Linked DNA regions of Caenorhabditis elegans. The protein of the gene in region 1 interacts with the protein of each later gene in a pairwise test. Each region holds a gene or a part of one and is shown in the gene's direction. Other genes may lie near its edges.

Region 1 (4,141 bases):
AGATGTGAAAAGGGAGAAGAAACTCGTAAACCATATGATCCAGACAATCGAGTCGTGATTCCAAGACTACCTTCGGAGACTTCATTTGTTGAGTGGAAGGGTAATAGGTTAGTTTTTGATAGAAGTTATTTAAATTTTATAAATAATTGGAAAACTCGTAGCAGCTCATCAAATTGATCCGAGAAACAACAGATAGCAAATTTTTCAAAGCATTTTTTTCGAAAACTGTTTTTCCAACTTCAAATCGATTGCCATGACTTTTTGGATTTTCAGAGTGATTGACCATCAACTCCCAACTCATATATCCCCGCCACGAGTTTATCCGCCTGTCCCGGAAACTCACCAACCTCAAATCTACAGTACTATTGATCAGTTCCCAAAGGATTTGCTTCCAAAGATTCCAGAATTAGCGACAGCTGAAAAAACCTATGCTCAACAATACCAAAATGTACATAATTTAACTTCAAAAATATTTTTTAAATTCTCATCTTGTAGCACATTCATGGAAGTGTGGTTAGTGGAGGACATAATCATCAAGTTGTTCGACCAATTGCTCCAACTCCAACAATTGCTCCAAATTCGAATGTTCCAGTTTCCTATCAAATTTCTCAAAGCCAGAACTCACTATCAACTAATGTACTGAACATTTAACAGATTCTGTATTTACAACTTTATTTTTCAGAGCATAAAATCCGAAATTGATCTTTCCCACATACATCCACTATTTCCACGTGTTCAGCCAGATTTTTTAAGTCGAATGTTGCCATCACTCAATTTTAAAATGCACGATGAAAACTCTGGAGCTCAATCACTTGGAAGTGTAGTCAAGCCTGTGCTTAAAAAGGTAAATATTTTATTAAAAAATTGAGATTCTTATTTCTCCAATTTCAGATCGCTCTGAACCAAACTGAACAGTTCTTGGATCGTTTATTGGCTGATCAAAAAAACGATGAGAAGCTACGAAAAGAAACAATTGATCGGCTAAAGTCATCAAATAGCGATAATATTACGAAAAAAAATTAATTATAATTTTAAAATAATTTATTTGCAGAATTGTATTATTTTAATTTGTAAAAATGAAAACTGCGAGCCTCATGGTGAATTTTCAGAAAATTAATACAATGACAATTAAAAATTAGTGAATTATTTAGAACAATTAAGTATTTGTCGCTCGCAGTTTTTATTTTTGTGAATTTCTGTTCGCTAAAAATCTTTATTTCTTTTTGTCGTCAAATTGGGTGTCGGGTACGCAAATACTGCAAACACCGTCACGCACATTTGCGGATGATGATTTCTCAAAATATTTTTTTAAATGTTTTTCACCGCCATTTTCTTTTTTCTCAAAATTTGCTTTCCTTTTTCATTTTTCCACATTCTACCTAGTTTTCGAAAGTCTTTCTGTTCCCCACTTGTGATAATATGATCTCCATTCGTTTAATCAATAATAAAGTGACAAATTTAAGTGTTTTGTTTAGTATTAAAGTTTTCGGTACTTATTGGTTACGTGTCTAAAGTATTTCAAAGTTTAAATGGAAAATGTGCGTTGTTTAAAAGTTGAGCTGTTTGTTTTCTGAGCTTCGTAATAGGGTAAATTTATTTTGTCTTCATATATCTTGCGCGCAATTGCGTTATACTTCAAAAATATTAGCATGCACCCAAATAGAAGAAATAAAAGTAAGTTGAAACCACATCGTAGGAGGTAACGAAACATTGTAGTTCGATGTATTAGTACAAACGCACGACATATTTTCGTTTCTGTTTTTTTCATGACTATTCGGATGAAAAACGCTTTTGTACTGTTCAGATTCGTAAAGCTGATTAATTAAAACAAAAATATTTCGAAATAGCAGTTTGACGTTTCTTTTTCATGAAAATAATTCTGTTCCGTGGTTACATTTTCTGAAACTATTTTTTTGCAACAACGTTAAATTTTCATTTCTAGGAACATGTCTGCCGCTGCTTTGGAGGAAATCGGTATTGCTCCATTACAGGAGAATACTTCTCTCCGTCCGCCACCACTTCCAGCCACCTGCGTTGATGTATCATCAGACGACTATATCAAGCTTACAACGCTGGAACGTCAACTGGCGCATCTTCAAGTTATGGAGGACTATATCAAGCTGGAGACAAGAAACCTTGAAAAAGAATTGCTTCATGCTCAGGAAGAAGTGAAGCGTATTCAATCTGTGCCACTTGTCATTGGACAATTCCTGGAAGCTGTGGACCAAAACCATGCTATCGTTGGAAGCACCACCGGATCCAACTATTATGTCCGTGTTCTATCGATTTTGGATCGTGAGCTGCTTAAGCCAGGATGTTCGGTGGCCCTTCATAAATATTCAAACGCACTTGTTGATGTTCTTCCACCAGAGGCTGACAGCTCCATTCAAATGCTTCGTCCTGATGAGAAACCTGACATCTCTTATGGAGATATTGGAGGTCTTGATATGCAGAAGCAAGAAGTCAGAGAAGCTGTCGAACTTCCATTGACTCATGGAGAACTTTATCAACAAATCGGAATTGACCCCCCAAGAGGAGTTCTCATGTATGGACCACCAGGATGTGGAAAGACTATGTTGGCGAAGGCTGTTGCTGCAAATACTGCTGCTTCCTTCATTCGCGTTGTTGGATCTGAGTTTGTACAGAAATATCTTGGAGAAGGTAATTATCAAGTTTTAAAACACCATTATTGTAACTTTTAGTCTTTTAGGACCACGAATGGTGCGTGACGTCTTCCGTCTGGCAAAGGAAAACAGCCCATCTATTATTTTTATCGATGAAATTGACGCGATTGCTACGAAACGTTTCGATGCTCAAACCGGAGCAGATCGTGAGGTAAGATTACTTCGAGATTGATAGTTTTTTCTCCGAATTTTAGGTCCCTAGAAAAAAGTTTTGTTAAACAAGTGGTATTTTTCCAGGTTCAACGTATTCTTCTCGAATTGCTCAATCAAATGGACGGTTTTGATCAAAGCACTAATGTGAAAGTTATCATGGCCACTAATCGACAGGATACTCTCGATCCTGCACTTCTTCGTCCAGGTCGTCTCGATCGTAAGATTGAGTTCCCATTGCCAGATCGTCGTCAAAAGCGTCTCGTATTCTCAACCGTCTGCTCTCGTATGAACCTGTCGGATGATGTTGATTTGGAAGACTGGGTTGCTCGTCCAGACAAGATTTCAGGAGCTGATATCAACTCTATCTGTCAAGAAGCTGGTATGCAAGCCGTTCGTGAGAATCGTTACGTTGTGCTTACCAAGGATCTTGAGAAGGCCTACAAGAATGTTGTGAAGAAGGATACCAACGATTTCGAGTTCTACAAGTAAACCACGAGTTACTCTCCGATGACCCTCCAGTTCGTCCTGTGAACCATATTTTTACTATAATTTATTGTATTTACACCGTGTCTCGCATAAACAATTTGCTCTTCACCGAACGTTCAAAATCTTCATACATTCATTCTGGTGAAAAAATCAAGATTAACAGTAGGTGTAAGTATAATAGTAGGTATAAGTTCAAACTAATGTAACATTCCTGTCGATTGGTCCAGAAACTGAGTTCCAAATACTAAAAATGGCTTGATCGTAATTGTTAGCTCCAGATTTTCCAGTTGAAGACATTTGAATAGTTGCTCCCTCAGACTTCTTCAATTTTATTCGGTTAAAAAAACTTGAGAAGCTTCCAATAACGAAATTATATGTAGGAACTATCTGAAATTTTTTATTCATCGTGTTTTCTTAATTTTCATTCATCACTGTTGTCGAAAAAGTTCTGACTCCGAATAAAGAGTCGGGGTCTGAAATTATCAGATTTCCGAAATATCGAAAAAATACCACAGCAGATACATAAATCCCGAATGAAATAATATGAATTAAAATAAGAAATACGGAAAATTTAGTGGATTGATAGACTTCTTCCAGTTGATATTTTACAGCAAGTGAAGAATTTTTCAATTGTAATTTCAATTTAAGATTCATTCGAAGTAATATTAAATCAAATATAACATCTACGAGATTGACGAAAAATATAATTATAAAAAAGGTAAACGCCTGAAAAAAAAGATTCATCGTGAATTTTATTTTAATTTTTTTCAATTTGATCATATAACTTCATAAAGGTTTCTTGATTGACAATCGATATC
Region 2 (3,864 bases), on another chromosome or scaffold:
CTTTTTGAACCAATCTAAGTCCCGAGCACATTACCTAAATGATTGTTAATCCTATTGCATATCTGCGTAGGGCTCGAAAACAAATACAATTAGTATTCCTTCACACTTTTTCTGATTCAGATACAATCTGCTTTATAAATTATTAACACAATCTGAATATTCACAATTTCAGAAAGAAATTCAGACGGACTATGTATATCCACTGGTCTCACCATTACCTTCCAAAATTGTTTGGAATTTTGTCATTCGTGTGTAATCCAATTTTCATTTGCTTGATAGCCACCGAAAAGAAGGCTTCGATCGGGAAGTATCGATATCTTTTGATAGGGTTTGCAATTTTTGATATGGCTTACTCAACTGTAGAGCTAATCGTTCCCGTAGCAATTCATGGTACTGGGGCAGCTTTTGTGATTTACCTAGCTGACGGACCATTTTTTGGGGTGAGTTTGAAAGCTCTACACACCAAATGATTGAACTTCAGACTGGGAAGCTTGGCCAACTAGCTGTCTCAATTCGATGTGGGTGTATTTCTCTTTCATATGGAATCCTTGTCATTCACTTTATCTATCGGTATCTTGTGCTATTTAAGTGAGTTTTATTTTTATTTTTCACGTAAATCCGAAAATTTAAAAATTATAGCACCCGAATAATCGATCGACTTCTCCGGCCGTCCGGGCTATTTGGTCTCTTTGTATTTTTTGTTTTTCACGGAATAGCTTGGAGTTCTGTCTGCGAGATGTGTCTCTATGGAGATCAAGAAGTGTTCGACTACATCTATGACGCTTTTCAAAAAGATTACCATGTGGATTCACATGATTTATCCATGCTAATGGCATTGTTTTTCGTGAGGCTCGAAAAGAGCAAAGAACCAACACTAACCCCTTAAAATTTTAGGATGCAAGTCCCGAGATCAAAAGAAGAAGCTGGATTGGAATTCTGCTGCTGACTGGAATTTCGATATATGCAATTTCTCTATACGTTATTCTTGGATGGAAGATTATGAAAAAGCTGGCGGATAATCCAGGGGTTTCTGCAACGACTCAGAAATTGCATAGACAGTTATTCAAAGCCCTTGCAGTTCAGGTATACATGTTTTTAAAGAGTTCAGAAAAAAATTGTTTAACTAAACATTTTCAGACTTTCATCCCGATCTGCATCAGCTTCTCCCCTTGCATGATGGCCTGGTACGGTCCTGTAATCGGATTGGATCTCGGAATGTGGAACAATTATTTGGGCGTCATTGCACTGTCAGCGTTCCCTGTTCTAGATCCACTTGCTATCATTTTCCTCCTACCCAACTACCGGAACAAGCTTTTTCGCACTGTGAAAATGCCAATCAAATACTTTTATTCTGGAACATCGACTGTCCGACCCAACGTGGATAATTCAGCTCAAGTTTATTGAAAGTTTGAGGAAAAGTGTTGTCCAAGTTGTTATAAAATTTCTTATTTTTTTCCATAAATATTTTTCGCAACGTTCTTTTTTAATCAATGTGAAAGAGTTTTATTTGCATTTCTCGAAATACATGTTTGCTTTATAGATTTTTTCAATAGCCTGCGGACATTTTCAACGTGTCCCTCTTTTCTTACCAAGTTTGCAGACAGCTTACACTTTCTTCGTTTTTTTTTGGTTTTTAAAAACAAATTATTCTCAATTTAGTACTGTAACTTTTTGAACAACTTAGCACTTTTATAACAATGTCGTTAAGTTTGAGTTGGGATGATAGTTCTAGAAAATTATTTTGTCAAGTTTGGAGAATTCTTGTCGATGGGATTATTTTTGATCAATTACAGGAAAAAACCGTATAGAAATTTAAAATCAACACATAAACCTTACTAATTTACAGTTCACAATCGCGTCACACCCCTAACCCGATTATATTTTCGGTTTTTATTGCCGAAAATACAACAACACATGTATGAATTCGTATAGTTGCCCTCTATTATAATATTTTTGCATTTATGTTTTCCCAAATTCTCAAAAGTTTTATTTTTTCAAATTTACCGGAATCATAAAATTTACGTTTTTCTAATTTGGTTTTTCTAATTTATAGACCACTTCGATGACACTCAAGCTCACATACTTTGACATTCGTGGGCTCGCGGAGCCCATTCGGCTCTTGCTCAATGACCAGGAAATCCCATTTGAAGATAACCGTATCAGCCGAGAAGAGTGGGCCGAAATGAAGTCAACCATGGTGATTCATAATTTTTGAAACTATAAAAGTAGAATTTTCCAGATTTTCGCTCAATTGCCGTGTCTTCATATCGGAACTGAAACGATTGTCCAGTCAGCAGCGATTCTTCGTCATCTTGGACGGATTTATGGTGAGCAATCAGAAAATTTACAGTTTTGAAATAAAAAATTCATTCGAATTGATGAAAAAGAAAAAGCCTGTCAAATTGCTTATTAATTGTTTTGATAAATGTTTTGTTTTGAAAAAATCGTTTTTTTTGAGTGAAAATTTTTTTGATTTTCTCAAAATAAAAATTTTCAAAAAAACTTGCAGAATGTATACATCCGAAATCGTATAAAAATTATCTAAAAGTAGTCTTTTGGAGCAATTCTAAACGTCGTCAAATTAGTCAATAAATTGTTTTAAACTTTTGGCTTTATAGTTAGCTCTTCTAGGCTGACTTAATGCGTTTTTGATTACAATTTTTTTTTGATCTCAAAATATCAGTTGGAGAAAATAACGAAAAATATATTAACAATTGTTTTCCCGGCTGTTGAGTTAACATTTTGCAAATCTTATTTAAAATTCAATACAAAAAGAAAAAAAAACAACATCTAAAATTTCTCAGGACTCAATGGCTCCACTGAATCAGAGACCTCATTCATCGATATGTTCTCCGAAGGGCTCCGCGATCTACGCACCAAATATTTCACAATGATCAAGACAGACTACGAAGATGGCAAAGAAGCATACATAACTGAAACTCTTCCCGGGGAGCTACTACGAATTGAGAAGTTGTTCTGCACATTTAACAACGGCGAAAACTTTGTGTCCGGGGACAAGCTGAGCTATGCAGATTATGCTCTATTCGAGCTTCTCGATATTCACCTCATCCTCACACCAACTGCTCTAAATGGCACCCCAGCACTGAAAAGATTTCATGGACGATTTGCAGAGCGGCCCAATATGAGACTGTATTTGAATAAACGGGCCGAACTAAATCCATTCGTCAGTGGAAATGGGAAACAATAAAACTTTCGGATTTTTTTGTGTTAAATTAATTTTGCAATACTAATAAAACTTGTTTCAAATAACTATTGTTTCAAAAAGCAAAACTCAACTGTGAAACCATTTTCAAAAAATGAGCTATCAAAATTTCGAGTACTTAAAAATTAAATTTTTTTAAAGTTTTTTGAATTAACTTATCAAAGTCTATAGGTTTCACGATAACCTACTGCATATAAAACATTGGGTCCTGACACGAAAAACCAATGTAGTAGGAGTAAAACGTTGTTTGAAAATTAATACAGGTGCTGTTTATGAATCAGACCCTGGAGAATACAGATAACACCCACCTCAAGTCTGCTCAATGACGCTATCACACATGGAGGACTTTTTCGACCCTTTTCAGTGTGTTCCTTTGCAAAAACGGAGTTACCATAGCAGACAAATATTCAAGTCACAAAACACATAGTGCCCCAACCCCAAAGGAGTATACTATTTTACGAGAACTCGGCATTTATAAGAAAAACAAGAGGGGAAAACACTTCTACATCTCTTCATCGAGAAGATCCCATTATTTTTCAATACAACTATGATATATATGAACTGGTACCATCAAAATGTTCCCAAAATTTTGGGAGCACTAAGCTTCCTGGTGAACCCAATATTCATATATTTGGTAGTGA

Evidence for each region.
Region 2: the proteins of rpt-3 (region 1) and gst-23 interact in a two-hybrid assay, tested with the Caenorhabditis elegans proteins (one large-scale study listed by BioGRID).

The regions. Positions count from the first base shown.
Region 1 is NC_003281.10:6,487,853-6,491,993, forward strand, and holds rpt-3 (putative 26S proteasome regulatory subunit 6B), read left to right. Parts: upstream 1-1,940; 5' UTR 1,941-1,946; coding exon 1,947-2,661; intron 2,662-2,710; coding exon 2,711-2,835; intron 2,836-2,921; coding exon 2,922-3,326; 3' UTR 3,327-3,430; downstream 3,431-4,141. Other genes in the region: Chitin binding domain containing chtb-2, read left to right, coding at 1-107, 274-448, 496-636, 683-844, 892-1,023; srb-11 (Serpentine receptor class beta-11), read right to left, coding at 3,516-3,710, 3,756-4,049. UniProt on the Caenorhabditis elegans protein: The 26S proteasome is involved in the ATP-dependent degradation of ubiquitinated proteins. The regulatory (or ATPase) complex confers ATP dependency and substrate specificity to the 26S complex.
Region 2 is NC_003283.11:3,241,233-3,245,096, forward strand, and holds gst-23 (Glutathione S-transferase), read left to right. Parts: upstream 1-2,051; 5' UTR 2,052-2,062; coding exon 2,063-2,197; intron 2,198-2,239; coding exon 2,240-2,327; intron 2,328-2,804; coding exon 2,805-3,208; 3' UTR 3,209-3,270; downstream 3,271-3,864. Other genes in the region: srj-11 (Serpentine Receptor, class J), read left to right, coding at 192-440, 482-588, 640-844, 895-1,083, 1,138-1,404; srj-7 (Serpentine Receptor, class J), read left to right, coding at 3,771-3,864.